Linked DNA regions of Nothobranchius furzeri. The protein of the gene in region 1 purifies or fractionates together with the protein of each later gene. This does not show direct contact. Links are inferred from orthologs where the notes say so. Each region holds a gene or a part of one and is shown in the gene's direction. Other genes may lie near its edges. The genes, in order: dis3l, exosc1, hbs1l, gigyf2, exosc6, eif4e2 and exosc8.

Region 1 (4,061 bases):
TTGTAGACCCCAACAACATTTCATAGGCTGTACAAAGGCTCAAAAAACAGTTTCTAGTTGTAAAAAAAATGTTTTGGGTCTTTTTAAAATTGTATATAAATGTAATATCCTCTGGTGGCAAGAATAAGCTCACGGAGAGTGGGTTGTTCTTTGGGAATATTTATTACTCCAACACAGGTACAGCCATGCTTCCCGGCAACGAACTTCCGCTTGTCTAATGTTAAAGTACACCCCACTTTGCATCCAGAACACTAGGTCCACCTAGAGGCTTCCTGTAAAATGTTTAACCTCTCACAATACTACAATAAATTCATCACATGAATCATAAAAGATTTGCTGTTTGCCACAGAGGGGGGAAAAAAAGTGCTGATGACAGAATTTCCTGTTTAGTATTCTAACCAGAAAAGGTGTTCAATACTAGGCTAGTAAAACTAGACCAGATTCCTCCCTTTTAAGTTTAAATACAAATAATATACTTATTTAGTCTGGCTTGCCAGGCTAGTTCAACACAGATACCTTTAAGCAAACATTTAACTGTTTTGTGAACAATTTTTTAATGTGAAACTTTTCCAGATAAAAGTGTTTTTAATCAACCCCTAGAACATATTTTGTAAACGTCGTCTTTTTGTTTATTTCAGAAAATTCTGGTAAATTCAAAAACCTTTTGAAAAACACCTGAAGAATTTCTGTTTGCGGGACAGAAGAGAATCCATGAGTTTTCTTTTGTCCGACAGTACATGAACGCAAAAGGACAGCACCAACCGTGGCTCCGACTCTCTCAACACGGAAACAGGTGTTGTGCCGAAAGGAGCATGCCTGCCGAAATGCGTATCCCCATGAAATAAGCATAGAGGTAAACTAGAATACTTTATGAGCGACGAGGCTAACACGCTTCTGTTACGTGTTTTTCGTGAAAGCGTTTTGTTTTTGTTTACAAATATGATGAAATAGTTATAAAAAAATTACGTTTTTGAACGTTTGAGAATAATGTTTTAGTGAGCATTTTTTATGTATTTTTGTGCTTTCTCCCAACTATTTTGTTGTTGGTTCTTAAAAAACACACGTGACACAAAATTACTCATTTTAAAATATTTATTACTACTTTATTACTATTTCTTCAAATAAAAATGTTTTAAACATAAATTTCTTTAATTTATCTGCCTACAAACGATCTTTTTGTAAGGAATCACGCAGATAAACATAATAATATTACATTAATAGTACTTTTTAAGCGCCTTTCCACAACGGGGATGCACATTTCGCCAGGCATGCTCTTTTCGGCACAACACTTGGAGCTTCCCTCTCACAAGTCCGCCAAAACATAGTCTTCACTTTAAAGTTCCGGTTTGTAAACTTTGGGTCAGCGGCTGCTGATCCATTTCGGTTCAGAGTTCGGGATGATTAAAACCGAGAAGATTCTGCACCTGAAGAGTTACCGAGGCCGGAGGGTTCGGGTGGTTCGGGAGCACTATCTGAGGGAGCGGGTTCCCTGCTTCAGCTCTCTGTGTCAGGCGGCCTGTGCTAACGGTAAGTCCGCCAAAACACACAACTAGTTGCTAAAAACACACAAACAGCCGTTTAAAACACAACTAGTCGTTACAAACACAACCAGTCTATAAAACACACTACTAGTCGCAAAAAACAAACAAAAATAACTAAATAAACCGGCCGATAAAACACATCTAGTCGCTAAAAACACAGCCAGCCACTAAGAGCTAACGAGTGTTTTATTTCCAGTCCTTCATTTATTAAACCTTTATTTATTTTTATTTAACCAGATGAGTCGATTGAGAGCTCATTCTCGTTTACAGAGATGATCTGGCCAAGATGCAGCAGCAACAGACACATAGTTAGCTTTACACTAAAGAAAAACAGATAAGATAAAAACATACAAGATAAAACAGTTAGACATAAAGACAAAGGACTGTTCTATTATATAATATGTACCAGCGATCCAAACAGACTTAAAACTGTCTTTAATGTGCCAGTGTGTATTTTTCCTGGTTGATGGGGAGCAGTAGACACCTAAAACATTGCAAGCAAGCAGCATTTTTGTGTTGGAGTAAGACCTTACCAACGGATGCCTATTAGGGTCAAAAAGCCCTGAGGAGTGCAAACTTCAGGAAAATGACAAGCACATCAGACCTCCTTTCATCAGTGGCAACAAGTGAAGAGATAAATGTGTAAAACAATGTTTATTAATAGTGAAAGTTTTATAATCGTTTGTTACTAATCAGTAAATGCATGGACGTAATTGGGGGGGGGGGGGGGGGCATGTCCCTCCCCACTTTTTCCAACGTCAAGTTTTGACCCCTGCACATTTTACCATCCAAAAACAATATTACGCTATACTAAATTGACACTGGTTGAGCTCTAGGACCAAGCAGAAACCAACCGTTTGTGTTGAGACCTGTTTCCCATTAGAGCATACTGTAAAGATTTTTTTTGATTCATTTAAACAAAATTTTGCTTTAAACTTCATTTTCTCCAACAGATTTAACAAGCAGATTGGTTAAACTTGATTTGATGACTCGGACTGGAGCTGTTGGGCTGCGCAGTGGTGCAGTGGTTAGAGCTGTTGCCTTGCAGCAAGAAGGTCCTGGGTTCGCTTCCCGGCCTGGGATCCTTCTGCATGGAGTTTGCATGGTCTCATTTTGCATGCGTGGGTTCTCTCTGGGTACTCCGGCTTCCTCCCACAGTACAAAAACATGACTATTAGGTTGATTGGTCTGTCTAAATTGTCCTTATGTGTGTGTGTGTGTGTGCATGATTGTTTGTCCTGTGTGTCTCTGTGTTGCCCTGCGATGGACTGGCTCTCTGTCCAGGGTGTACCTTGCCTAATTGCCCGTTGACTGCTGGAGATGGGCACCAGCCCCCCCGCGACCCTACATGGACAAAGCGGGTTCAGAAGATGGATGGATGGATGGATTGGAGCTGTTGGTAGACTCACATTCTTGTCCAACCGAACGTTAGAGGACCGATATAATTTAATATTTGTATTTTCTCTGATGGATTTATTATCACAGGTAGATCAGTGTAACAGAACATCTGATTTCTGTATAAAACAGTGAATATGTTGTGTGTAGCCATGGTAACGACCTGATGACCCCTCAACAGATGGCAAGGTGTTGCCCGGAGACTTGACCCACTATGTGGTGCCGGGGGTGGAGGTGGTGGTCAACTTCCTGGAGATCCTGGAATTCAGGGAGCTGCAGGGAGTCATCTTCACCCAGACGGCCTGCCAGGCTCTGCAGAGTAAAGGGCGCAGGTACAACACACACAAACACACACACACATAGAGGGTGAAGTGGGTTGTCTGAAGAACTCCAGTCTACCGTCTTTTTTTATTCCAAAGTGATGGAGAACATCTCATAAGTTTTCCTGACAAACCATTAGCAGCTGGTTCTGGTGTGTGTGTGTGTGTGTGTGTGAGAGAGAGAGAGAGAGAGAGAGAGAGAGAGAGAGAGAGAGAGAGAGAGAGAGAGAGAGAGAGAGAGAGAGAGAGAGAGAGAGAGAGAGAGAGAGAGAGAGAGAGAGAGAGAGAGAGAGAGAGAGAGAGAGAGAGAGAGAGAGAGAGAGAGAGAGAGAGAGAGAGAGAGAGAGAGAGAGAGAGAGAGAGAGAGAGAGAGAGAGAGAGAGAGAGAGAGAGAGAGAGAGAGAGAGAGAGAGAGAGAGAGAGAGAGAGAGAGAGAGAGAGAGAGAGAGAGAGAGAGAGAGAGAGAGAGATCGGCTGGCGGGATGATGTAGAGTGATATCTGCTGTAGGAAAATGCAATCAGCAAGGGCACAAAAACAAAACACGCTCAAAGATAGCGACAGAGCTCGAGACTAGGTCATATACCCAAACGAGTTAATCATCCGACGTCGTGTAGGTCTCAGACTGCCCCTCATATAGCCAGCCGGTGATTGCAGCTGAGTGGCTGCAGCTGGGCAGTTCTCCGGCACCGCCCACCTGCAGGAGAAGGGTTAGTGTGGGGAACAATATACCTCAGGCCATGACAGCTTGACCTTCTCTGGAACCGAAGCCTTTAGGAAAAGCAGCGGTTGCCGTCCGACCAGACC
Region 2 (4,074 bases), on another chromosome or scaffold:
TTTTCGCTCCGAACCGTTCTTTGAACGTTGTTTCAGCTGTCATCAAGGATATAAACGTTACAGATACAAAGGACATCACTGGCGCTTTAGCTCACCTATTAAGATGTTGGACTCTCGTGCAGAAGACCCGGGTTCGATTCTGGATGTAAACATAGTTTAATTAGTTTCTTTTTTACATTAATGGTATATTTTTTACAGTAAGATACCCAAATTTTTATTTGAGACTCGCCGAACGGCATTGAATTCACAGATAAAAAAGATGTGGGTTCAACTTTCATTTTGGAACAATTTTTCAAGCAAGGGAAGGGAATGATCTGAGCATGCAGGAGGACTGACCCATCATAAACCTTTGTCGGCTGTGCTGAAGAGAAAGGTACAGAACCACATTATTTAATTAATTAGCTGCGTGTTCTCCTATCCTCTGTCCTCCGGGCCACACACACACACACACACACACACAAGGGACTGCCTCAGCTGTTATTTTCGTTAAGGAGTGTGCACGTACAGCATGCACGCCTCGTGCACGAGCCTACTATTGAAGCTGCCGTTACGCTTTTGGCCTGAGGGGGGCGATCGCGAGCATAAAAAAAGCATCAAACCTCTGTAAAGTCCCTTTAAGGACAGTTATTTTTGTATTATATGTATTTAGGGGGTGTTTTTTTTTACACAAATCAAGAAAAAAAAGTGCCTTTTCAAATAAAATGTATTCATAAATCACCTTAAAAACAAACAAAGTGCAACATAATAAACATCATACAAATGACCAAAAGAAACATTTAAGTTAAGCTCTTTATCATTTTTTACACCAGTTAAACTCAGATGATCATATCTGAAACGTGCACTAAAACTCAAGACGGGGACAGCCAGTGCATTCACAGATGTCAGTACTTTGTGTTCAGGTTTGCCTTTTACTAACTTGTCTTTTAAAGGTGACCAGCACCAACCCCAGGTTTGCCAAAGTCCACATCCTGTATGTGGGTTCCACACCGCTGAAGGACCGCTTCAGAGGGACCATCAGGTAACCTCACTACGTAAATCCAGTTTGATTAACTTTCCTAAACTCTTAGCTCACTCTCTCCGTATCTACAGGAAAGAAGACGTGCGAGCAACAGAGAAGGATAAAGTGAGCTAGAATTCGTACTTTTACTTGGATTGTTTACTTATTTTTGCTCCTTCTGTTTCCTTACTGATGGTTCTGTTTTGTTTACAGGTGGAGATATACAAAAGCTTCAGAACGGGCGACATTGTTTTGGCTAAAGTGGTATCCTTCAACAAGCTCTCCAAGAAAGAAAACCAAACAAATTTAAAAGCTATTTTCAGCTCATAACCCAGTTTCATTGGGACCTGTAAAATTTGCTGAGCTGAATGGGACAAAATGAATGAATGAATCTTAGAAATGACAGCAAACAATGTTCACATGTTACTACTGACTCCGGTGCTTCAGTCTGAACGTTACTGATTACTAATCTTGACCTTTGATGTCAGATTTCTCTCGGTGACATTCAGTCTAACTACTTGTTAACAACAGCTGAGAATGAACTGGGTGTGGTGGTGGCCCACAGCGAGGCAGGTACGTTCCTCACCTCTTTCACTTCATCTTTCCAAACTAAACAGCTGCTCAGATCTGACCAGCTCACTCAGGTTCTGCAGGAACAGCAGGGGGTCCAAAGTGGGAGGAAAAGATTTCTGATTAGAACTTAAGTAACATTATTAACTTCCATAATGACAGCATTACTGATTAATTCTCTAGTGTTATTTTCATCATAGCTAAATATTATTACTCTCAATTTCCGACCAAATGCAAAGATATTATCTATCTGATTTAGTAGCTAATTATTTGCGCTTGAAAACATTTCTTATCGTATTTTCAAGGTTTGAAAAGTGCTTAAAATTGGCCAAAAATACTTTAAGCTTCTTAAAAATGTAGTTGAATTCATTTTGTAAATCATCAACTAATAATTATCTATTTTTAAGAACTATTTTATTCAAAGATATTTCTTTATCTTGTGTCCTATGTTATATAATAATAGAGTTAAATAAAATATAACAATAATAAAGAAAAAAAATTTGGCCCTCACCATCTGTAGAGCCGCCACCAGGGGGCAGTAGACATGTATAGGACTAAATATGGCAGGTTTGTAGCAAAGTTCTTCACTGCACTTCTAAATGTACATATGTGATCTTATGGTAATTTTTTCGAAAAAAAAATAAAATAAAATAAAAAAATTACTCTTGAATGTTTAGATTTTTTTCTAACAATTCTTTTAAAGTAATTGTTCATTGTTTTTTGTTCACATACATGTTTTGATGTGTAGGCCATTAAAAGCTTCAGCAGAACTTGTAGCATTAACATTCATTCATTCAAGCTGCCTTTAAATAAATAAAATAGATTTCTAAAAGTAAAGTACTGGTTTCATGTGTGAAATGGTTTCAGCTTGAACACATAGCTGGAAAGCCTCAAAAATTCTCAACAGGTCTAAATTGGGCCATGGTGGCAAAAGGGTTAAGTGCTCGCCCCGTAATCGCAGGTTCGAGCCCCACTCAGTCTGTCGTTGTGTCCTTGGGCAAGACACCTAACCCCCCTTGCCTGCTGGTGGTGGTCAGAGGGACCGGTGGCGCCAGTGCTCGGCAGCCTCGCCTCTGTCAGTGCGCCCCAGGGCAGCTGTGGCTACATCGTAGCGCATCCCCACCAGCGTGTGAATGGGTGAATGACTGATTGTGTTGTAAAGCGCATTGGGGGGTTCCAGGACTCTAGAAGGCACTATATCAAATACAGGCCATTTACCAAATTTGCATTTGGAAAAAGTGTAAGAGCCTTTTAATATTGCTGACATGAAAACAGGTGTTTTCCGTCGTATTTTCCCTACTTTCTTTTCTTGTAAATAACTTCCCATTTTTCTGCATGTTTCTAACATTTTTACCACATTTTCCCCTGAACCAGGAGCCCAGATGATTCCCATCAGCTGGTGCGAGATGCAGTGTCCGTTGACTCACGCCAAAGAGTTTCGTAAAGTGGCTCGAGTCCAGCCTGAGTATTTGGAAGCGTGACAGCCTGGACAGTCTTCACTTGGTACACGCAACTTCCATCTTCCTTCAAGCAGCTCCTGCTCCAGCTTTTGTTTTTCTGTGCATCATGTGATTCACGGGCCACTTCTGGTTTAAGTGTTTCAAACAGCTGCACATTTTGTCATCCTTTCATTGTGCTTTTCTGACTGGTAAACAATAGCAGTTAGTTTTTTACCAGCAGACCCAAGAACACAGAAGTTAAACATGATTTTTATTTTTGGAAAGGGCCAGTAACGGTAGCTGGAAGAGCTCTACGCTTTATGGTTCGTCACAAATCGTGCTGGTGTTTTGCTGTCTTGGGCTTAAAGCTGATGAAGACATTTGTTCACTGTTGGAAAGCCCAGCGCTAAACCAAATGTTTGATGCAGCTACAGCGTAGAAAATAATGAAACGTTAAGTTACCTTCCTGTATATAACTGAGTCAACCGTACATAAGCCTTGCCTTTTACGAAAATGTACTTTGCTGTTTAACTTTCAAAAGTACAATAAATTAAAATGACTGATTCTACTTTGTCTGCAGTTCCTGCTTTGTGCACCTAACTATTCAATTGTTTTCTACAATCCTTCAAATTAAACATTTTGTAACTTACTGAACATCATAATTCATGTGTCACATTTAGAATTAAATGGCAAACTTTGGTTTTGTAGATTTATTTTTCAAAACATCAAAATGTATCAAAGCCATTAAAACTAAAATATTCACACTAACAGAGGCGTTGCTTTGAATTGTTTTACATAATCCGGTTTTGACACTGATGGTTTCATCTACATTTTGTACAACTCAGCCAACATTCGATCACCTCTAAAGTGAAACTAACGAGACTGAACTCATTTACAACGCTGATATAAAAAAAAAAGGTTTATCCAAACATCCACCTTCCTGATCAGTCATCAAAGCGAATTGATCGACTTGCATTGACATCAATGAAGAACTTTTTATTGGGTGGGGCGTTAAACCCAAGCCCCGCCCCCTTTTTACTGAAGTCCATTCTGCGTGAGTGGGCTCGC
Region 3 (3,500 bases), on another chromosome or scaffold:
TTGAAATAAACCAGATTAGGTTAGATCAAAAATTTCCCCCTCGTTTTCCCCTCATGACAAGAAAAATTGAATATTTGTTGCCTTTGGCGGTCTCTAGTGGTATGGAGCTTTAAAATAGTCGAATTCTTTGTTGTTGTATTTTTAATTATTTTAATTACCAATTAAATTTAAGGAAATATTTGTAAGTATTAATAATCAACAGCAGCTGTGCTGTTGTGGGATTGTAGAATTCGAGTATTTCCTTCACCCCAGTTGGTCCGTGTACTTCTGTCATTTTACTTTCATCTGCACTCGCGTGTTTATTTGAACTGAAGAGGCAGAGGGATGCTGCATGTTTGCATATCCTGGGTGGACTCCTTCTTTTATGTGTACTAAGTTCAATCCTGAGGCCAAAGCATGCTGATGACTCACAGCAAGGGTCCCAGTATTCCAGAGAAATCCTGTATGGGAGCATGCCAAGCGTCTGCCTCATTGTCCAAACACTAAAGAGATCCTGCTCCGAGCCTCGAAGCATGATCGTCTTGATCTGTTTTCACGCCACCCTGTAGTTAATGCTGCCCCGAGGCTGGCTGAAAGAAAAAAGAAAAATGAGTTTGTAGTTTCATTGTTTGCAAAAGCATTACTGTGTTTTCATTGGTTAGGATGTCAGGGGAGTGTAGTTTGATATCTATGATGGATCAGGTAACAAGTTTTATTGAGGTTTACCTAAATGTGTCACATAATTAATAAATTAGCTGGTTCTACATTTCTGTCATTATCTTTTGGCCTTTTTTCCTCACAGAAACAAAGATGGATGGTTCATTTTGTCCAGTCGAACCTGAAATATTTGAATCAGGGACAATAAAAGCTTTATTTTTCATTATCTAATAATCAAAAGCTTTGTTTATTTGCTCATTTTCTGTGCAGATTAGATGTACCAATTATTTTTGCATGCATCTTGTAGATTTTTAATATACTTTGCACTTTTTGTGATAATAAGAAAGGTTTTTGTTGGTTTTATAATAAAATAATGACAAATGTGCTCAATTCTTTCTCCCACATGCATACATAGATCAGAGTATGTGGGAATAAGCGTCTAACTGGGGTGGCCTGAATTTAAAAGGGGAGAAAAGCCTCATCAGGGTGCAGTGAGCTGTATATCAGTGTTTCATTATGAAAGGGACTTTTTCTTCAGTGCAGAACAAGTCATTTAGAGAGTGCTTGGTTAGAGAAAGTCCATTAATGTGCTGCTGTATTATACCTCTTCCCTCTTGTTTACCCTCAGAGTATTTCTTGTTGCATTAGTTTGTGACTAGTCTCACTTTTAGCTTTGCAACCAAAGTGTTCCAGTAAAAAAGCAATAAAAGTTGAATCAGTTTCAGTTTTTCAACCTGAAACCAGTCAGGTTTTAACCTGCTCTTACTGAATTTCTGATGAAACTCTTTCACGTCCAGCCTTGTGCGCCTGCTGAGTTGACACCTTAACCCAAGATTCATTCTGTGAAAGTGCTGCGTCACCCAGAGCTATTTACGTGGAGACGGGAGGCAACGGCCACTTCTGAAATTAACCCTTTGTGAGCCAGGATGTCAGATGCAAACAGACTCTCACACACATGCACTCGGTGTGCAGGAGGCTTGACTGTGCAGCCCAGGCTGAATGAATCAGAAACGGGTCGATATGACTGGAAATGGGGACCATTCGCGTCTGGAATGACACAGCGTTTACCTCAAGAAGTTTCAGTGCTAAAGAATATGAGCTTCCAGTCAGATAGGGGAGGCTTGTGCTACAGCCGGTTGCACCAGGGACTCTCACTCCAATCAAAGAAACACACTTTGCAAGCCAAAGTACAGCTTTGACTGGTTTTTATCTGTTGTGTCTCTCAGCACTGCAAGATTAAACTAAGTAAGAAAATGCAAGGTTGGCTTGTTCTAAAACGGAAAAATTATATTTAAGGGCGACATATTACAAAACTTGTTTTACATCCTTTTGTGCTGCCATGTGAGTCTCTGCTGCCGCTGCTACTCAGCCATCGGAACCACGACGAAGCAGGGACTGAAGCGTAGGGGGAAAGGTGTTGGAAAAGGCGGCCAAACTGAACCACACCCTCCCGAGTCATGCTGAGTAGTGCTGTTGGAAAAGGCCTATTTCTGTGACCTACACAAAGAAAACACAAATGAACAATGGCATCAAGATAATCTTAGAACAATAATCCCAGTCCTGAATATTTTACTTTTTAAAATCACACATTGAATTTGATTTATGATGTGGAATTTGCTCCCTGTGTTGAACGTGTCAGCCGATCATGGATGCTTTCATCTGCTCTTTGATCCCTTCAGCCAAAAGCAGAGATTTGTTGCACAACAAACTGGAATCTGAAGTGGTACCCAAAGTGGCCCGCATGACCGTTTCTGGGAAGAAGCAGACCATGGGATTCGATGTTCCGAGGTATCTAAGAACCACTCTCTGCAAGATTCAAGTGGGGATTAGTTCTGTATTTAGCACCTTACATTTGTCTTCAGCACAGGGGAGAACGGGCTTGTGGTTACGTCGGTGCGGCGAGGTGGCAGCCCGGAGAATGCAGCTGTTCCTGAAGCCACCTTGAAACGACCCGAGACTCCGTCTAAAGGGTCCAATGGGGACGAGACCCCTTCTGGTGCCACACCGGGACGCTCTACTGGGAAGTCCCGTCAGACGATCAACATCAAGGCAGAGCTGGAGAAGAGACAACAGGGAAAACCACTTTTAAACCTAGTAGTTATAGGTAGGATGCAAAGACCGTAAGATGCAATAAATTCAAATAAAAACAAAGCCTGAAGCTTAGAAAGGCAGCAAATCTGCAGGGAATCATTTTTTGATACTGAGCATGTTTGTTGCACTGAGCCGGTGCTGGAAAATGATTAGTTGCACTCTGAGGTTCTCCATGTTTGGTGTTCTAATGTCAAACGAGTTAACCTCACACTGGCACAGTTACTCAGCCGTATTTTCTCATTCTCAGACCAGAAAATGTGACGGTGTAGTTTCAGAATTGCAGATGATTCTAGCTTCCCACAGAGAATGAAACCTTTCGTGTTGCTCTGGTCAACCCCCCCTACCCCCCCCCATATGTGTCTGCCTCTCTTCACTTGTGCAATTCTTATTTCCTCCTCCCCGGTTTCCCTTCTCCTTGTTTTATCTTGCCTCCTCCTTTCACCAGCCTTATCATCTTTCGCTAATTCTTCCTCTTTCTTTTATCTTCGCTTTCCCCATCATCAGGTCCTCAAACATCCTCTCTTTGATACCTTCATAACTCATTTTTTCCATCCTCTTCAGGTCATGTGGATGCTGGTAAGAGCACATTAATGGGCCACCTACTTTATCTGCTGGGCAACGTCAACAAGCGCACCATGCACAAGTACGAGCAGGAGTCAAAAAAGGCAGGAAAAGCCTCCTTTGCCTACGCATGGGTTCTGGATGAAACTGGCGAGGAGAGGGACAGGTAGACCCAGACTGTTACAACTACACAAAGAACAAGTCAAATATAC
Region 4 (3,500 bases), on another chromosome or scaffold:
ACGTAGAGCACAAACAATTTTTGTCAACATTTTTCCAAACCATATCAGCACCAGAGGAAGGCGTGTGCCATAAGAGACGACTATTGTTTTTAACAGCTTAAAATTCCATTTCATTTATAAACAGACTGTGTGCATTTTTTTTATGCACCTTTCATATATTTTGCACCGTTTTATATGCATGGTGGCTCGGTGGGTCCCCTCAGTTGCATTGCACCTTCACGAACTTCGTGAATCATCCTTCGTCGAAGGATGATTCAGCTCTTTTTTTATTCAAAATAAATAAGGATTAGGCTGGTACAGTATCAGGATTCAGCTTTTATCCAAACTTTTGAATTTTATCATTTGATGTATTTCATCTTTTGATTTCAGGGCGGGGAAGAGGAGACGGAGGGTTTTACCAAAGAAGTTTTGATGACGTTGAAGGTTTTGGTCGCGGAGGAAGGGAAATGCACCGTTCTCAAAGCTGGGAGGAACGGTATTGGAATGAAAAAATGTGATAAATCCAGATCTTTTCCTGATATTGCACATATCTCTTCTATATATTTTTAGTCAAGACTAAACGTTTCTTTTTTTTCCCCATTTATTAGGGGGGACCGACGATTTGAAAAGCCAGGTCGAAAGGACCCAGGTTGGTGTCACATTTTGTTGTGAAAACAGAAAAAAAAATCAATACTCAAACATTTTTTTGGGCAAGTTGGCCAGCTCACCTGTTTGCTCTTCTCTGTCGTTGTAGCTGATGTTGCTCCGGGGCATTTTCAGATCAATCACAGTGAGTTAAAAAGCATTCCTCTGAAAGTTCTGGGTTCTTAGCCAAATCATGCCATCATTTACATCATATAGATGTTAAAATGTTAATTCCCTGGGGTTTCTCATCCTAACGGCACCCCCCACTCCATCACCTGGTGTTCTAATGTGGTGTTTTTACAGTTCGAGGCCCATATGAGGACGGAGGGACAGGACTCCCAAGGAAGCACGACTTTACGCGTTCAGAGAGTGAAAACTGGCGTACTACTCGAGACGATCAGAACGGTGAGGGTGATGAGGGGGGCTGGCGCCTGCTGGGTTCTCAATGGGAGAACGACCGGTGGTGCCCCCCGAGCCCAGGTGGGCGCTAAAAATGAAAGACAAAAGCATTACCCATACATTCATCTTGTCGAAATAATAAGTTTTGATAAGTGAAAGGGTGTGTTATCTCTTGTCTTTGTCGTGCTTCCCGTTTGGCCTAAAGGTGCTTTTTTGTTCAGCCCAAAGACTAAATGTTAGATAGACCAGTCCTCCGCCGTCACTCGTAGCTTTATGAAGAGCTGAATTAAAGCCCAGTGGGCAGTTCCCACAACCGCCATCTTGGCTGCATCACGTGTCTCATCGCTCCAGGGTAATATAATAATGGAGCTAGGGTCGAGGCTGTGGGGGTGGGGGCAGGTGGTTGACACCCAACAAACTCTGAGCTGATGAAGCTAAGAGCTAACTGAGCTAACGGAATCTAATGGAGGCTTTTGCCTTAGATTTATGTGCCTGGATTACAGCAGCTTTTCCTGGAACAGAACGCACTGCAACAAGATTTACATTCATGCAAAATGCAGAACAAACATTCAGATGATTGTGTTTACATGTGTGTTATTTCTCCCGTTGTCTGGAGTGAACATGTGGGATTTTGTTTTAGTTTTCCTTTTATGTGGCATTTTTCCCCAGATGGGCCTCGGTCAGCAGGCTGGCGGGAACTTCCGGAGCAGCGTCGACATTTTCCGTTTGATGCAAGAGAAGACGAGCGCGGCTACAGAAGGCAGAGGTCTGGCAGCGGCAGCTTGGATGACGAGAGGGACAGCTTACCCGAGTGGTGTCTAGAGGATGCAGATGAAGAGGCAGGCACATTTGACTCTTCTGGAGCCTTTCTCTCTCATAAGGTAATCAGATACTTTCCTCAAATGATTATTTAAAGATTACTGAGAAGTTTATGACAATAGTCCCCCCCCCCCCCCCACATTGTCATTTTGTAATCAGAAAGCCTCAAAGGAACCGATTCCAGAAGAAGCAGAGCTCGACTTCAGACCCTTGGAGGAGTGTGACGAAGGCCTGGAGGAGCTGGATACCCCGACCAGGGAAACCAAAGAATCAGAAAAAGAAGCCAAAAGGGAAGCAGACAGAAAAGGTCAGTAGTGTTGATAATCTGACTTTTGATTCTCTTATTGATAAATATGTTGGTATTAGATCATTTAAAGGTCAAATTCAAACTAAACCCAGTTTTCAAAATAATTCCAAGGAAGTAAAAAGATACAATAGACAAGTTTAATAGTAAAACATGTTCCTGATCATTCACACTTTATTTTAACAGGAATTGTTGCAGAATAAATGTATAATCTATATGAAAAATCATCTAAGCTAGTCTGATTCACCGCTGCGTCTCCTGAGTAATTTGAGTCACTTTTTGACCTTCATGGTGTTTCTGTTTAAGTTGGGAAACAAGTTTTTTACCCTGGTTGTTGCATCACATAAAGAAGGTGACACATTTTCTGTGTTTTTACCTCAAAAGCTGCTTGGATGTTAACATTTAAAACGGCCTATTTGAAACGATGAGATTACCTGCTGACGACAAATTTTAATCCCATCATAATCTCTGCGCTCAGGCGTTGTTTGATAGTTTGTGCTTGCAAATAAAAATTGCCGGTAGCTCAGAGAGCCAAAGGGGCAAGAGAGGAATGAGGGAGTGTCAGTAAAGGCCAAGTGAACACAAACAATAAGCTGTTATGAAGGCAACATAGTAGAGTTTAGTCATCTTTTTTGTTGGTTGGAAAGTCGCTATAAATACTTTTTTCTCTGTTGGGTAGAATCAATTTTTTCATTTAGGTTTATGTTAATAGCTAAAAAGGAAATAATTGTTTTTAAAACAGCCTTGATGTGTTTTGAAACCCTGGTAATAAACATAAACAATGTGTTTTTGTGTAAAAGTGGTGAAATGAGAGATGATCCAATCACGTGAAAATAGCCTGGAAAAGTTCTCGGTGCAGATGTACGACACAATGTCTGTTAACATTCACGGACTCATCCATTTGGCCTGTATTTGACGTAGCTCCTTCTAGAGCCCCCCAAGGCGCTTTACAACACAATCAGTGATTCACACACACATTCATACCCATTTGGCTCGTGACGGGAAGGCTGTTGATGTTGCGTCCAGGAAACGGCAGAGAACATCTCGACTAGCAGAAGCTAACTGTTAGCATTAGCAACTCCACCACACGACAGAACTCCTTGTGTTATTTGTGGAGATAAAATATCGGTGTTGCAGAGCAAACTGAGTCAGTGGTGGAGTCGTGTTGCTGTTATCCAATCAGAGGCGAGATGTCCGAATATCAGGAAATAAGACTTTGTTTGAAGCTTCTTTCTCCTCCGGCTGACTCCTCCGTCCCCAAACAGGAGTATCTGAGAATCCTTCTGTCTTCTTACTTTAATGCTTTGCTGAAAAGTGTTGGATCAGGTCTCTGTTATCAGCAGATACTTAAAGT
Region 5 (3,422 bases), on another chromosome or scaffold:
TTGCGCTGCGCAAGTATGTGCGCAAGGCACATCTATGATTCAATTTGCCTTTAATTTAGACATTCGCACTAATTTATTACATAGCGTTTTTTAAATGCAACGTAGTAAAATAATGAGTTAACGCTGCTGTGTATGAACGACTTTCTACAGGTAAAAATGTCTTTGGCCGCCTCACTAAAACTTAATACGTGTCAGAATTGTGTAAGTTTGAAAATAAAGTTATTTAAAACCAATGAGAAGGACATTTTGGATTTGTTAGTTATAGCCATATGTATGTATATAAATACATATATGTTTATATATACATAGTATGGTTGTTGCGGTACATCCAGCAAATTCAACATTACAAAGCAGTGAATTGTCTTGCAGGTTTTTAATCTTTGGTTGCTGGGTAACTGTCGCCCTCTTCTGGCTAACACCTGTCATTACCACAAATGAAGTGTTAGCAAAGAAATAATTAAACCTACACCATTTTTTACTTTTACATATATTTGAATTTATTAAATGAAGTAATAATTATACAACGATACCGTGTCTTCTGATGAAAAGATCTTAAATAAAAAATATAAATATCAATATTTAGTCATAGAAAATATGTCTCAAGTGTGACTGAATTATTTTTATGTTTATGTATTTAGCAGACGCTTTTGTCCAAAGCGACTTACAGGTGAAAATCAAGCCAGCAGGTTACCCTTGAGGCTAACAGTAAACACTATGCAGCCAATCCTGTTGTTAGACGGTATGTAAATCTCTTATGTATTTACTATTAAGAACTTTGTCCAACATTGTCCTTTTTAATAACATGAATCCAAAGTGAATAGAGTCATTTATTAATCAGAATTTTATTTTGAAATTTTAATACATTTCTGGGCTTTAATAAACTGCAAGGTAACTATAACATTATTGACTGGTATAGTGTGTGACTTAAATACTTTTAAAATACAACAACAGTTTGTTGCATCGCTTTAAACTACATAAGAAAAAAAAAGCTGATGAAACATTGCGGAACACAGTAGGAACTAAAATTTGAGGGAACTTTTCCGGAACACAGTAGGAACTAAAATTTGAGGGAACTTTTCCGGAACACAGTAGGAACTAAAATTTGAGGGAACTTTTCCACTCCCGTTGTAGTTCTTTGGGGACACATTTATGAGCGATCCACTTCCGCATGCACCATGCCGACAGATACGAAGCGGGTTCGTGGTCCGGACGTTTCTCAGAGCCCCGTGCTGCTCGGGTACAAACCCGCTGCGGTTCTAGCCTCGCGTGGGCCCCGAGAAGACGGTCGGCAGCGGGACCAAGTTGACGTCCGGCCGGTCTTCGTCCGCTGCGGCCTGGTGAGTCAAGCTAAAGGTTCCGCTTACATCGAAGCTGGAAACACGAAGCTGATCAGCTGCGTTTACGGACCCCGAGAAACCGATCGGAAAGACGAGACCGATATGAAAAGTGGGAGGTACGCTGCTTTATCACAATCACGTTTTCTGCTCGACAGGTTCAGCCTGATTGTTCATGTGTTCGAAAGTGAAGTTCGAGTGTTTTTTGTGATCATCAAACCTTCCCATTGGTAGAAAGAGCAAATGTTCTGGCGGCTAGAGGGAGATTTGAATCCTTAACTTACCCTAGGCCAGGTGATGTAGGTGAACTCCTTCCCAGTGACACTCTTAACTCAGCCTAGGAGAGCCAAAGGTGTTCCCAGACCAGGCAATTTACAATCAAACATGTCAGATTAGTTAGTTATTTGAATTATTTAGGTCAACTGGATATAAACAAGATAATTCAGTCTTTTAGTAGCAGGCTTCCGAGAATATGGACTTTTCCGCCCTCTGGCGGACAAAAGCAGTTACAGCTTCCACGAGACTAACCCCTCAAAATAAAACAAACCACTTTTAAGTTTTTTAATTGGTGCCAACAGCACAATTAGTGTAGATAACGAGAAAGTCAGAGCGTGTGCACATATACAAACTACGTAACTCTTAAAACTTAATACATCTATGAGTTAAACAGGATTAAATCAACAAGCTAAAGCAGGGAGCATCAGCAGCTAGCTACAGCACTTAACTCATCAGATATCGCGCCCTCCGGTGGCAGCAAGGCGAAATGATTGTAGACTTGAAGAGATTTATCTAACTTTTTTTTAAATCAAATTTTAACCCAATAAAGCAAATTAGCTCAACCAACAGGAATTTGTTTTTATCAGTTTTCCAAGCGACTCGATCATTTTCCTTTACTTAACCTGAAAACAGAAGATTATTTTCATCGGATTGTAATGTTTGGGATGGTTTTGTTTGGGAAAATGATCCTATGTGCGTTTCTGCTTCCAGGCTGACCACTGATGTGCGTTTCGCCCCTTTTTCCTGCCCAGAGAGGGTCCCGTGGATCCAGGGCAGCCAGGACAAGGACCTGTCTCTGATGCTGCACGAGAGCCTGCAGCCGGCCGTGTGCCTCCAGAGATACCCGCGCTCTCAGATCGACGTCAGCGTGATGGTTCTGGAGAACAGCGGCTCAGCCCTGGCCCACGCCGTCACCTGTGCCTCCCTCGCGCTCGCGGATGCGGGGATTGAGATGTACGACTTGGTGCTCGGATGTTCCCTCCAGCAGGTTGGGAGCTCCTACGTGGTCGACCCGTCCTACCTGGAGGAGAACGGCTGGAGGTGTAACAGCAGCGAGAGCCGGGGCGGGCTCACAGTGGCCTTCCTGCCCAGTCTGAACCAGATTTCTGGGCTGCAGTCCGACGGTGAGATGTCTGAGGAGACCCTGACTGCGGGGGTTCGGACCTGCATCGAAGGATGCTACAAACTTTACCCGGTTATCCAAAAGGTCTTGACCAAAGCGGTCCGCCGGGCGGCGCCCCCGTCTACCTGAGAGACGCTCCAACAGCTCAGCGTTTGACGAGTTTAATATGTAATAAAATAGCTAACTTTGTGTTGGTCTTTAATCTGGTTGACACACAAAAAAATTCTGATTCATGAAAAGGTAAAAAAAATAATTAGTTTGAAATTCCCTCTTCCTGTCGAGAGCCTCTCACCACCAGAGGGCGCTGTGCACCTGAACACCACCACCAGAGGGCGCTGTGCACCAACAATCTGTTCTACTTCAAATGTCCTCCAATTATTTCTTCTAATACAAGCCAGTTAGAAACTAAACCTAAACGAAGTCTTAAAGTTAAACTAACATATCCGGTGTTTATTTACCTTTTCCACCGGAATATTTCTAGTTTTTGCTTCTGTGATCCTTTTCTGGAACCCTTTAGTCTTTAATCAACCTAAAAAACCAGCTTGACTACAGATCTGTGGGACGTTCTGGACAAACGTGTCCCACTCACCTGGAACAGGAGCTCAAGAAGAGCTGGGTCAGAACCACAGAAAACACAAAAGGAGGTAAAGTTCTTTATTTTTCTGTTGGGAATTTGACAAGAGAATGAC
Region 6 (4,078 bases), on another chromosome or scaffold:
CACAGAAACACAGGGAGCAAGGGGTGAGGGTATGGTCTGCAACTGCGGAGCCAACCAAACCACGCCATGCCATACCATCCTAGAGCATCCTGTTCACCACCACACCATCCCCCCACCCACACATACATAATGCGTCTTATGAAGTTTGCAGTGTTGTTTCTAGACACAAGCCGGTATTTTGGTTATTTACCCACAAATCGGCTCGCATCTATAACAAAAACTGATCCAACTTGCATCAATAGAAGTCCACTTTGTTCCCATCTCACCCTCCACCTCCTCTGTGGTCCCCCAGACTTTGTCCAGAGCTCTGCTTGGACCTGAACAGAGCCACGGTTTGAAGTCGCCGCAAGAACAGAGGGCAAGCGAAGGGATGAAACAAGTACTGCGGCACATCAGAGGATGTGAGTTCAAACAAAGAGGCCGTCGGTTCTCTGTGTTGCGGCTGCACATGTGCTGTTGTGTGTATGTGGGTGTCTGCTCGTAGCCGTCCATATCCGTGAGCTGAAGTCACCAGGTTCCTAGTCACTCAAGCCGGGAGGAGCAGATTTTGACAAAGCTGTAAAAAAGTGATCCGAGTGGTACTTTTTCTTATTTATTATGCTTGAAAATATCAACATGTGGTGAATAAAATGTTCAAACGTAACTTGGATTTGATGTTGTGTTTCTGCACCAGGGTCACAGCTGTGCAAACGTTTTCAGCTACAACTGTCTTACACTTCAGAGGAGCCAGGTGTTTTGTAAAGTTATACATCTGATTAGTTATTTTTAAACTTTGGCTGAATTTTCACTCACTTTTAGTTTACTCTGCATATTGTGCTTCTTCCTGAAAAACAGGAAAATGGTAATGAAAAAGACTAATGATCACATTTAAGAAGTTACTTAAATAGAACATGTAATATATTTTTTCAAGGATGTAAAAGTTGCAAAGCTCTGTTACAGAAGGACATGAGAGATGGATCATCTATGACAATTTTACATAATCTGTCAATTCTGTTCATGCTAAAAGTCATTTTATGTGTGAACTGTTTTGGGGAGATATTTTTATAGTTTTACCTAAATAAATAGGATTACACGAACGTCATATGACTTGTTGCAATTGAGACTCATTTACTGGTTCATCCCTTGAGTTTGGAAATATTTAATTACTGAATAGTTCAGTGATGAGTGCCAAGGTCCAAGAACACACTTTAGGAAAACCGACTAATCTCATTCAAGCCACTTAAAATATAACTTTTGGACAACACTACATTTGACAGCAGCGCGTGCCACCTGCTGACTTCTTTTCCGATTCCGACTCATCACTGCGTGCGCGTTCATGTGTGTAAGATGTGCGTCGCCGTTCCTGCGGAACTCAGGAGGCAGAATTTGGACTCCGACAGACTCCTGACTAAAAAATAATGAACAACAAATTTGACGCGTGAGTTAAGGCTTTATATTTGATTATGTGGCATCGCACGACCTTCCCGTTGTTTTAAACAACTCAGAGAAAGCTAGAACGTTAATGAAAGCTGAATTGTGCGTTAAATGAGAGGTGTGTCAGGTTTATAGCATGGTAGTTCGATATGCCGTTGGCTGAGGTGGACAACTTACGTTCACTTTAGCGAGTGGATTTTTCATAAAATATAGTGATATTTTAAATAAGTAAAGGTTTTGATACAAATAATTGTCTTGTGAGTGTGTGTGCTTTTAGCTTAGCATGTCTGAAAGCGGGTAGGCCGCTAATCCCCGGTGTGTGAGTAGTTGGGACGCCGGAGGAGGTGCACACAGAATCGACTAGAACCAGATTCCCACGGCCTTCATCACGAGCACAGACGGGAGCAAATTCTGACTTTTTACTGCTAAAAGTGATGATACCGGTGCTGTTTTTGTGTGATTCTTAATTGGGGTTAATTTAAAATAAATAAATAAAATTTCAAGATTTAAGACGTAAAGTTTTTTAAATAGCGTTGTTTTGACGTGGGTCTTTGAGGCCAGCTGGTTAGTTTTGATCCTTTTTTTTTTTTTTTACATATTTAGATATTATCATTTATCATGATAATCTAGAGTTAACTGCACTTGGCTTTACATTAAAGTGTCTTCTGACAGACGTATGAATATCTGATGGTTTGTGTCTAATCCAGGCTGAAAGACGATGACAGTGGAGATCATGAGCAGGATCAGGGATCACCGAAAGACAGCGAAAAGGAAAAGATCGAAGACGATGACAAGGAGCAAATTATTATCAAGAAAAAAGTATGGCTGATTACAGAGCATTGTTTCTACTGTAGATAAATATGCTCCTGTATTTACATTTGTCCATGTCCTTTACAGATGGTGGTTCCAGGGGCAGGAGAGCACCCTCTTCAGTACAACTACACCTTCTGGTACTCCAGGCGGACCCCAGGCAGACCAGCTAGCACCCAGAGCTATGAGCAGAACATCAAACAGATTGGCAGCTTTGCCTCGGTAAAGGACTTTTGTTTATACTTCAGCTTCAGCTGTTTCATGTTCACATATTTAATTTTGTGGCTTATTCTTGTCAAGGTGGAGCAGTTCTGGCGTTTCTACAGTCACATGATCAGGCCTGGTGATCTGACAGGTCATAGTGACTTCCACCTCTTCAAAGAAGGCATTAAACCCATGTGGGAAGTAGGTGTCTGTCGCAGTAATTGTATACTTTAGTAGAACGTTTTTTGTTTTCTGTGTACTAAGGCGTATTTGAAACCCCTTGCATGTTTAGGATGATGCCAATAAAATGGGTGGAAAGTGGATCATTCGTTTAAGGAAAGGCCTCGCGTCCCGATGTTGGGAGAACCTGATTCTGGCCATGCTGGGGGAGCAGTTCATGGTAGGGGAGGAGATCTGTGGGGCGGTGGTGTCGGTACGATTCCAGGTAAATCAAATAACACAATGTTGTATGTAACTGCTGGATCCCATTGCACTGAAACGTCTTTTTATGTACTTCATTTTATTCAGGAGGACATCATTTCTATCTGGAACAAAACAGCTAGTGACCAAGCGACCACAGCCCGCATCAGAGACACCCTACGTAGAGTCCTCAACCTGCCTCCCAACACCATCATGGAGTACAAGACTCACACAGACAGCATTAAGTATGTAGGTGTAGCAATTAAAACATTCTAATTACGACCAATAAGATGTGATGATTCCATATAAAAATGAAATATCAATCTGATTGATCTTTGAATATTTAATCAGAAGATTCTAGGGTCCTTTGCCTCTTTAGGGACCATGATCACACTTCGTATCAATTCAGACAGAGTCGGGTATATAGTTTATAAAATTAATTTAATTATTTTTCCTAAACTAACAATTTATACATGACAAGATATGAATAATGAGATGTGTTGTGATGGAAGCTAGATGTTGTAGCAACCATTCTTTGTATCTGAGAGAAATTGCAAAATCTGGATGTAAAATAATTAGTTGTTTGGTTATAACTAGAGTTCAATTCAATTCAAAAATACTTTATTATTCCCAGAGGGAAATTGATTTCTGTAGTAGCTCAGAATAATAATAATAATCAAGTCATCAAAGAGTATATCACAATGGCTGTTGGCAGGAAGGATCTCCAGTAGCGGTCAGTATTGCAGCGAAGCTGAAGAAGCCTCTGACTGAAGACACCCTTCCGTTGTCTGACAGTCTTGTGAAGAGAATGCTCAGGGTTGTCCATAATTTTCTTGATTCTCTGGAGAATCCTTCTTTGCATTATCTCCTCCAGCGGTTCCACAGTCATCGCCAGAACAGAACCAGCCTTTTTTATTAGGCTGTTGAGCCTTTTCAGGTCCCTGCTTCTGATGCTACTACCCCAACAGATGATGGCTGAAGAGATTACACTCTCAACAACAGACTTGTAGAAGATCTGTAGCATCTTGCTACAGACATTGAAGCATCCTCAAGAAGTGCAGTCTGCTGTGTCCCTTCTTGTAAACAGCTTGGTTGTTCTTTCTCCAGTCCAGTCTGTTGTCCAGGTGAACTCCAAGGTATTTGTGTTCCTCAACTACCTCCACTTCTTCTCCCATGATGGAAACAGTGTTTGACTCCACCCTGTTTCTTCTGAAGTCTAAAATCATCTCCT
Region 7 (4,041 bases), on another chromosome or scaffold:
TTCTCAAAACCCAGCTTACTAACAGATTTGTTATAACAGCTTTGATAGAATAACAGAAGGTGAGTAATGCAAGAGAACTAAGTTATTTTCTACAGGGCTGCCAACTTGTGATGGTTTCCATGCACGAGGAGGTGTGTGAAAGGGGTCAGACACGTGTCTCACGCTCAATGGGAAGCTAAGTCACACCCATCTATTTCCGACCATGGGTCCCCAACAGGGCTGGACTGGGACAAAAAATCAGCCAGTTCGTTTTGAGCCGAGACCGGCCCACCAGCTAGTGAAGTTAAAAAGCAATGACGCCTATTTTTTACACCACCTCTCTAACCCTGGGCCTCGATATTCCATATCCATCATGTTTTACTTGTTTCCCTGCTCCAGCACAAAAACTGAGCTTATTTTGCTGCTTAACCCTTTGGTGCATAACGGTCACTACAGTGGACAGTTACTCAAAATTGTTATTTATTTATTTTTGCTATTAAGCACAGCTGTTGAAGACTTTATTGCATATGAGCCCTTCCATTTGGACTTCAGTAAGTCAAGCCACCATATTTCATGTTCAGAATGCACATTGTCCACTGAGATGGACATGTAATAAAGTATTTGTAAATTAACAAAATGGTACAAAAAATATTTGTTGAAATTTGTTTCATTCACACCTAAAGATGAATGAAAAAAATAGTTTAAAAAATCATGGTTGAAGATTTCATAATTCATGCATCAGAGGGTTAATGCAACAAAACATCAACAGACCAAGACAATCTTCAGATATCTAACTGCTCGTTTGAGGTTGAGTAAAGAAAACAGTAAAGCAGAAAATAATCAGAAAACCGAGTTGCCATGCATGCACTGCTCACACACACACACACACACACACACACACACACACACACACACACACACACACACACACACACACACACACACACACACACACACGCACGCACGCACGCACGCACACACACACACACACACACCAACATCAAAACACATGACTTGTTTAACAGTTTAATTTTGTATTTTAAAAGAATGATCCAAACCATTCTAACTAAAAAGTTCAGTTTGAAGACATAAGAGAATCCACAATTTTGCTCTGGATTGTTCGGTTAGGAAAGAGGAGTTTGTAAGGAATATTTATTCACTGTCAATTGTTTAAACACTACAATATTGTTTGTTTAGCAAATTAATATATCGAGTTTTATTTAATCTTTATTAATTGTGACCGGTTATCAATTTGAAAGTTTTATTGACCTTACAACACCAACTCATTTTTGAAAAAGACGAATTTGTTGGCCAGTTTTTCGTTCATTTCCGAACTCCAGTCCAGTTGGTGGCGGTAATGCACACTTGTCGTTGGTAATCACAGTTTCGTCGCGGCCACCGTAGTTCACGTGGGTAATCAAAACATCATGGCGGCTGGTTTCAAGTAAGTCATTTTTAACATGTATTTTTCTTTATATTCAGACTTTGATTTTCATCAAATATATATCATCGATATATTTAATGTTCAGTGTTATATCTAAATTTAGTTTGCTTGTCAAAAAATACAGAAACAACATTTCTGTGACGTCAGTTGGGCTAGTGACGGGATAGTACACTTTATTTGTTAGATTTATCGGTCTGCTGTTTATTGCAGGATCGCACGTGTTTGTTACTAATTTGTCTTATTTAATTTCTTTAAACTTTCAGGACGGCGGAGCCTCTGGAGTATCACAGGAGCTTTTTGGTTCGTCAAATACATACAAACTATACCCAGTAGAAACCCATAAATGTTATTATTATTGTTATTAGTGTCATTGTAATTGCAAATGCTTCATTTGCAGAAAGAAAATTGTAGACCTGATGGGCGGGAGTTGTCTGAATTTAGAAGTACAACCTTAAACATTGGTAAGAAAATAAATTAAATGTTTCCTCCCTGTAATAAAACATAATTTTAGATATGATGTAAATAAAATAATATGTACTTCTAATACAAAATGAGTCGGCTCATATTTTTTCAACTCCAACATTTTCCAGTGCCTAAAGGGCTGATCACTGCCAGCTGTAACAGTTTTTACTTATTTTCTGTTCAGGGTCTATTTCCACTGCAGACGGCTCCGCTCTGGTAAAGCTGGGAAACACCACGATCATCTGTGGCATCAAAGCGGTACTGGTGCACAATGACTCAAACCGCTACTGCTAAGATTTCTTTAGGTGTTAAAGTCATGTGTTCATATGCAGGAGCTGACTAACCCTACTGTGGATGCACCTGGTAAAGGTTACATAGGTAAGTTCTGAACACATTTTACAGCCTCCTTGTTTCCATCAGGTTTTCATTGCTTAATTCTTTATCTCGTATTTTCTGTTTGATTCTGTATTTTATTATGACATCATCATCTGTCTATATATGTTTTAAAAAAGTGCCCAATGTAGACCTGCCACCCCTGTGTTCGTCCCGCTTCCGACCAGGCCCACCAGGGGAACAGGCCCAGGCTGCCAGCCAGTTCATCGCTGATATCATTGAGAGGTGTGTTAAGCCTTCAAACACCTTTAGTTTCCAGCTGTAGTGTTTCTGCCACTGCTTTGACTTAACCTTCATGTGTCGTGCAGCTCTGAGGTGATCAAGAAAGAAGACTTGTGCATTGGCCGAGGAAAGGTGATTTTAGACTCATGTGTGGACTTTATTTGTTGTAATATATTCAATCATAATTCTGCTAAATCTTGTTGCAGCTCTGCTGGGTCCTCTACTGTGACATCATGTGTCTCGACTATGACGGGAACATCCTAGATGCTTGTGTTGTCGCCCTTCTGGCTGCCCTGAAAACCAGTAAGTAGGGTTGAGACTTTACTGAAACGGTGCATGTAATAAATAAAATAAATCTATCTTTTAGTAATCTTTCCCTGCAGCACAACTCCCAGAAGTCACCATCAACAAAGAGACGTCCGCCCCGGAGGTGAATTTTGAAAAGAAACACAAACTTAACATTCACCGACATCCAGTCAGCGTCTCCTTTTGCATCTTTGATGAGTACGTTTGTTTGATTTCAATTCAATTTTTATTTTAGGTACAAGTGCCATTTTGTTCTTCTTTAAGCCTTTTTGGTTTTCCTGTGCAGCTCCATACTGATCGTAGACCCCACCGCCGAGGAGGAGAGCCTGTCGACGGCACGCCTCACTGTGGTGATGGATGAGGAAGATCAGCTGTGCTCCTTACATAAACCAGGTCAGAGATGGCACATCTGTGATCTTTAGATTTGTGGTGCTTCTGCCATGAAATAAAGCTTCAGATTATTTTGAGTATTTTGAGAAAACGGGGATAAAAGGCTCTGCAAACTTTGCCTCCAGGTGGAACGCCACTGTCGGGAGAGAAGCTGCAGGAGTGCATCAAAAGAGCAACGGCACGAAAGGGAGAGATCCACAAACTTATTGAGAAAGTCATAAAAAGCATGAAGACAGCTCAATAAATACACTCAGACAACATTTTTTATCTAAAAGTTGTATTTTCCACTGTCAATATATATTCTTTTTTAATAACAATAAAACTGCTGACAAAGACTTAAAAAAATTATCTTTTCAGTGTCCAGAAATGTCTCACGCACACTTAGCTGATGTCTTAATTCATGTAAGAATATGCTCATGGCTCCTTGTTAAAAGGTAACACCTTTTGAAAATCTGCTGTACAAACGCACGCCGTCTTGCATGATGACTCTGAGTCCTCGCGTGAGCCCTGCGCCGGAATACTCCCCAAGATCAGATTTGCATTTTCACGTCGTGGACACGTGGACGGCTTGGTGTTGCTAATCTGTGCTTAAAGGGCAGCCTCATGCGAAATTCTCTTTAAAATGTCCTCTCACTCCACAGGGCCTCGGCAGAGAAAAGTCTTCCGAAAGTAGAAATATGTAACCGTGGAAGCTCGTTACCTACAAGACCCGTCTTCTTCTTGATCATCTGAAAAAAAATATCACCAAGGCTCTTAGAGCTTCGGGCTTCCTGCTGTAGAAACCAGTTCCCCCACAGTGGACAAAGGTTTGGTTTTCAGAAAACATCTGAGAACCAAATCATAAA

Evidence for each region.
Region 2: the proteins of dis3l (region 1) and exosc1 purify together in Homo sapiens (affinity purification with mass spectrometry; 4 studies listed by BioGRID and IntAct, counting the BioPlex papers as one, with this or other methods). This does not show direct contact. The link is inferred for Nothobranchius furzeri from reciprocal best matches to the Homo sapiens genes DIS3L and EXOSC1.
Region 3: the proteins of dis3l (region 1) and hbs1l purify together in Homo sapiens (affinity purification with mass spectrometry; 5 studies listed by BioGRID and IntAct, with this or other methods). This does not show direct contact. The link is inferred for Nothobranchius furzeri from reciprocal best matches to the Homo sapiens genes DIS3L and HBS1L.
Region 4: the proteins of dis3l (region 1) and gigyf2 purify together in Homo sapiens (affinity purification with mass spectrometry; 3 studies listed by BioGRID and IntAct, with this or other methods). This does not show direct contact. The link is inferred for Nothobranchius furzeri from reciprocal best matches to the Homo sapiens genes DIS3L and GIGYF2.
Region 5: the proteins of dis3l (region 1) and exosc6 purify together in Homo sapiens (affinity purification with mass spectrometry; 3 studies listed by BioGRID and IntAct, with this or other methods). This does not show direct contact. The link is inferred for Nothobranchius furzeri from reciprocal best matches to the Homo sapiens genes DIS3L and EXOSC6.
Region 6: the proteins of dis3l (region 1) and eif4e2 purify together in Homo sapiens (affinity purification with mass spectrometry; 3 studies listed by BioGRID and IntAct, with this or other methods). This does not show direct contact. The link is inferred for Nothobranchius furzeri from reciprocal best matches to the Homo sapiens genes DIS3L and EIF4E2.
Region 7: the proteins of dis3l (region 1) and exosc8 purify together in Homo sapiens (affinity purification with mass spectrometry; 4 studies listed by BioGRID and IntAct, counting the BioPlex papers as one, with this or other methods). This does not show direct contact. The link is inferred for Nothobranchius furzeri from reciprocal best matches to the Homo sapiens genes DIS3L and EXOSC8.

Annotation. Positions count from the first base shown.
Region 1 is NC_091749.1:66,618,705-66,622,765, reverse strand, and holds the start of dis3l (DIS3-like exonuclease 1), read left to right. Parts: upstream 1-1,261; 5' UTR 1,262-1,397; coding exon 1,398-1,527; intron 1,528-3,117; coding exon 3,118-3,268; intron 3,269-4,061. UniProt on the Homo sapiens protein: Catalytic component of the RNA exosome complex which has 3'->5' exoribonuclease activity and participates in a multitude of cellular RNA processing and degradation events.
Region 2 is NC_091746.1:82,291,581-82,295,654, reverse strand, and holds the end of exosc1 (exosome complex component CSL4), read left to right. Parts: intron 1-929; coding exon 930-1,018; intron 1,019-1,089; coding exon 1,090-1,123; intron 1,124-1,210; coding exon 1,211-1,261; intron 1,262-1,485; coding exon 1,486-1,570; intron 1,571-2,941; coding exon 2,942-3,048; 3' UTR 3,049-3,574; downstream 3,575-4,074. Other genes in the region: knop1 (lysine-rich nucleolar protein 1), read right to left, coding at 3,951-4,074. UniProt on the Homo sapiens protein: Non-catalytic component of the RNA exosome complex which has 3'->5' exoribonuclease activity and participates in a multitude of cellular RNA processing and degradation events.
Region 3 is NC_091742.1:466,625-470,124, forward strand, and holds part of hbs1l (HBS1-like protein), read left to right. Parts: intron 1-2,315; coding exon 2,316-2,424; intron 2,425-2,498; coding exon 2,499-2,740; intron 2,741-3,288; coding exon 3,289-3,454; intron 3,455-3,500. UniProt on the Homo sapiens protein: GTPase component of the Pelota-HBS1L complex, a complex that recognizes stalled ribosomes and triggers the No-Go Decay (NGD) pathway.
Region 4 is NC_091751.1:53,327,342-53,330,841, forward strand, and holds part of gigyf2 (GRB10-interacting GYF protein 2), read left to right. Parts: intron 1-369; coding exon 370-493; intron 494-587; coding exon 588-628; intron 629-733; coding exon 734-769; intron 770-927; coding exon 928-1,104; intron 1,105-1,692; coding exon 1,693-1,904; intron 1,905-2,001; coding exon 2,002-2,149; intron 2,150-3,500. UniProt on the Homo sapiens protein: Key component of the 4EHP-GYF2 complex, a multiprotein complex that acts as a repressor of translation initiation. In the 4EHP-GYF2 complex, acts as a factor that bridges EIF4E2 to ZFP36/TTP, linking translation repression with mRNA decay.
Region 5 is NC_091744.1:81,855,985-81,859,406, forward strand, and holds exosc6 (exosome complex component MTR3), read left to right. Parts: upstream 1-1,127; 5' UTR 1,128-1,175; coding exon 1,176-1,453; intron 1,454-2,321; coding exon 2,322-2,862; 3' UTR 2,863-2,922; downstream 2,923-3,422. UniProt on the Homo sapiens protein: Non-catalytic component of the RNA exosome complex which has 3'->5' exoribonuclease activity and participates in a multitude of cellular RNA processing and degradation events.
Region 6 is NC_091751.1:56,212,946-56,217,023, reverse strand, and holds the start of eif4e2 (eukaryotic translation initiation factor 4E type 2), read left to right. Parts: upstream 1-1,278; 5' UTR 1,279-1,397; coding exon 1,398-1,417; intron 1,418-2,120; coding exon 2,121-2,232; intron 2,233-2,310; coding exon 2,311-2,445; intron 2,446-2,523; coding exon 2,524-2,628; intron 2,629-2,719; coding exon 2,720-2,872; intron 2,873-2,955; coding exon 2,956-3,092; coding exon of another isoform or gene 3,093-3,096; intron 3,097-4,078. UniProt on the Homo sapiens protein: Recognizes and binds the 7-methylguanosine-containing mRNA cap during an early step in the initiation. Acts as a repressor of translation initiation.
Region 7 is NC_091750.1:62,637,214-62,641,254, forward strand, and holds exosc8 (exosome complex component RRP43), read left to right. Parts: upstream 1-1,341; 5' UTR 1,342-1,406; coding exon 1,407-1,423; intron 1,424-1,686; coding exon 1,687-1,723; intron 1,724-1,820; coding exon 1,821-1,884; intron 1,885-2,069; coding exon 2,070-2,143; intron 2,144-2,217; coding exon 2,218-2,263; intron 2,264-2,397; coding exon 2,398-2,503; intron 2,504-2,586; coding exon 2,587-2,632; intron 2,633-2,706; coding exon 2,707-2,803; intron 2,804-2,883; coding exon 2,884-3,004; intron 3,005-3,092; coding exon 3,093-3,199; intron 3,200-3,321; coding exon 3,322-3,440; 3' UTR 3,441-3,541; downstream 3,542-4,041. UniProt on the Homo sapiens protein: Non-catalytic component of the RNA exosome complex which has 3'->5' exoribonuclease activity and participates in a multitude of cellular RNA processing and degradation events.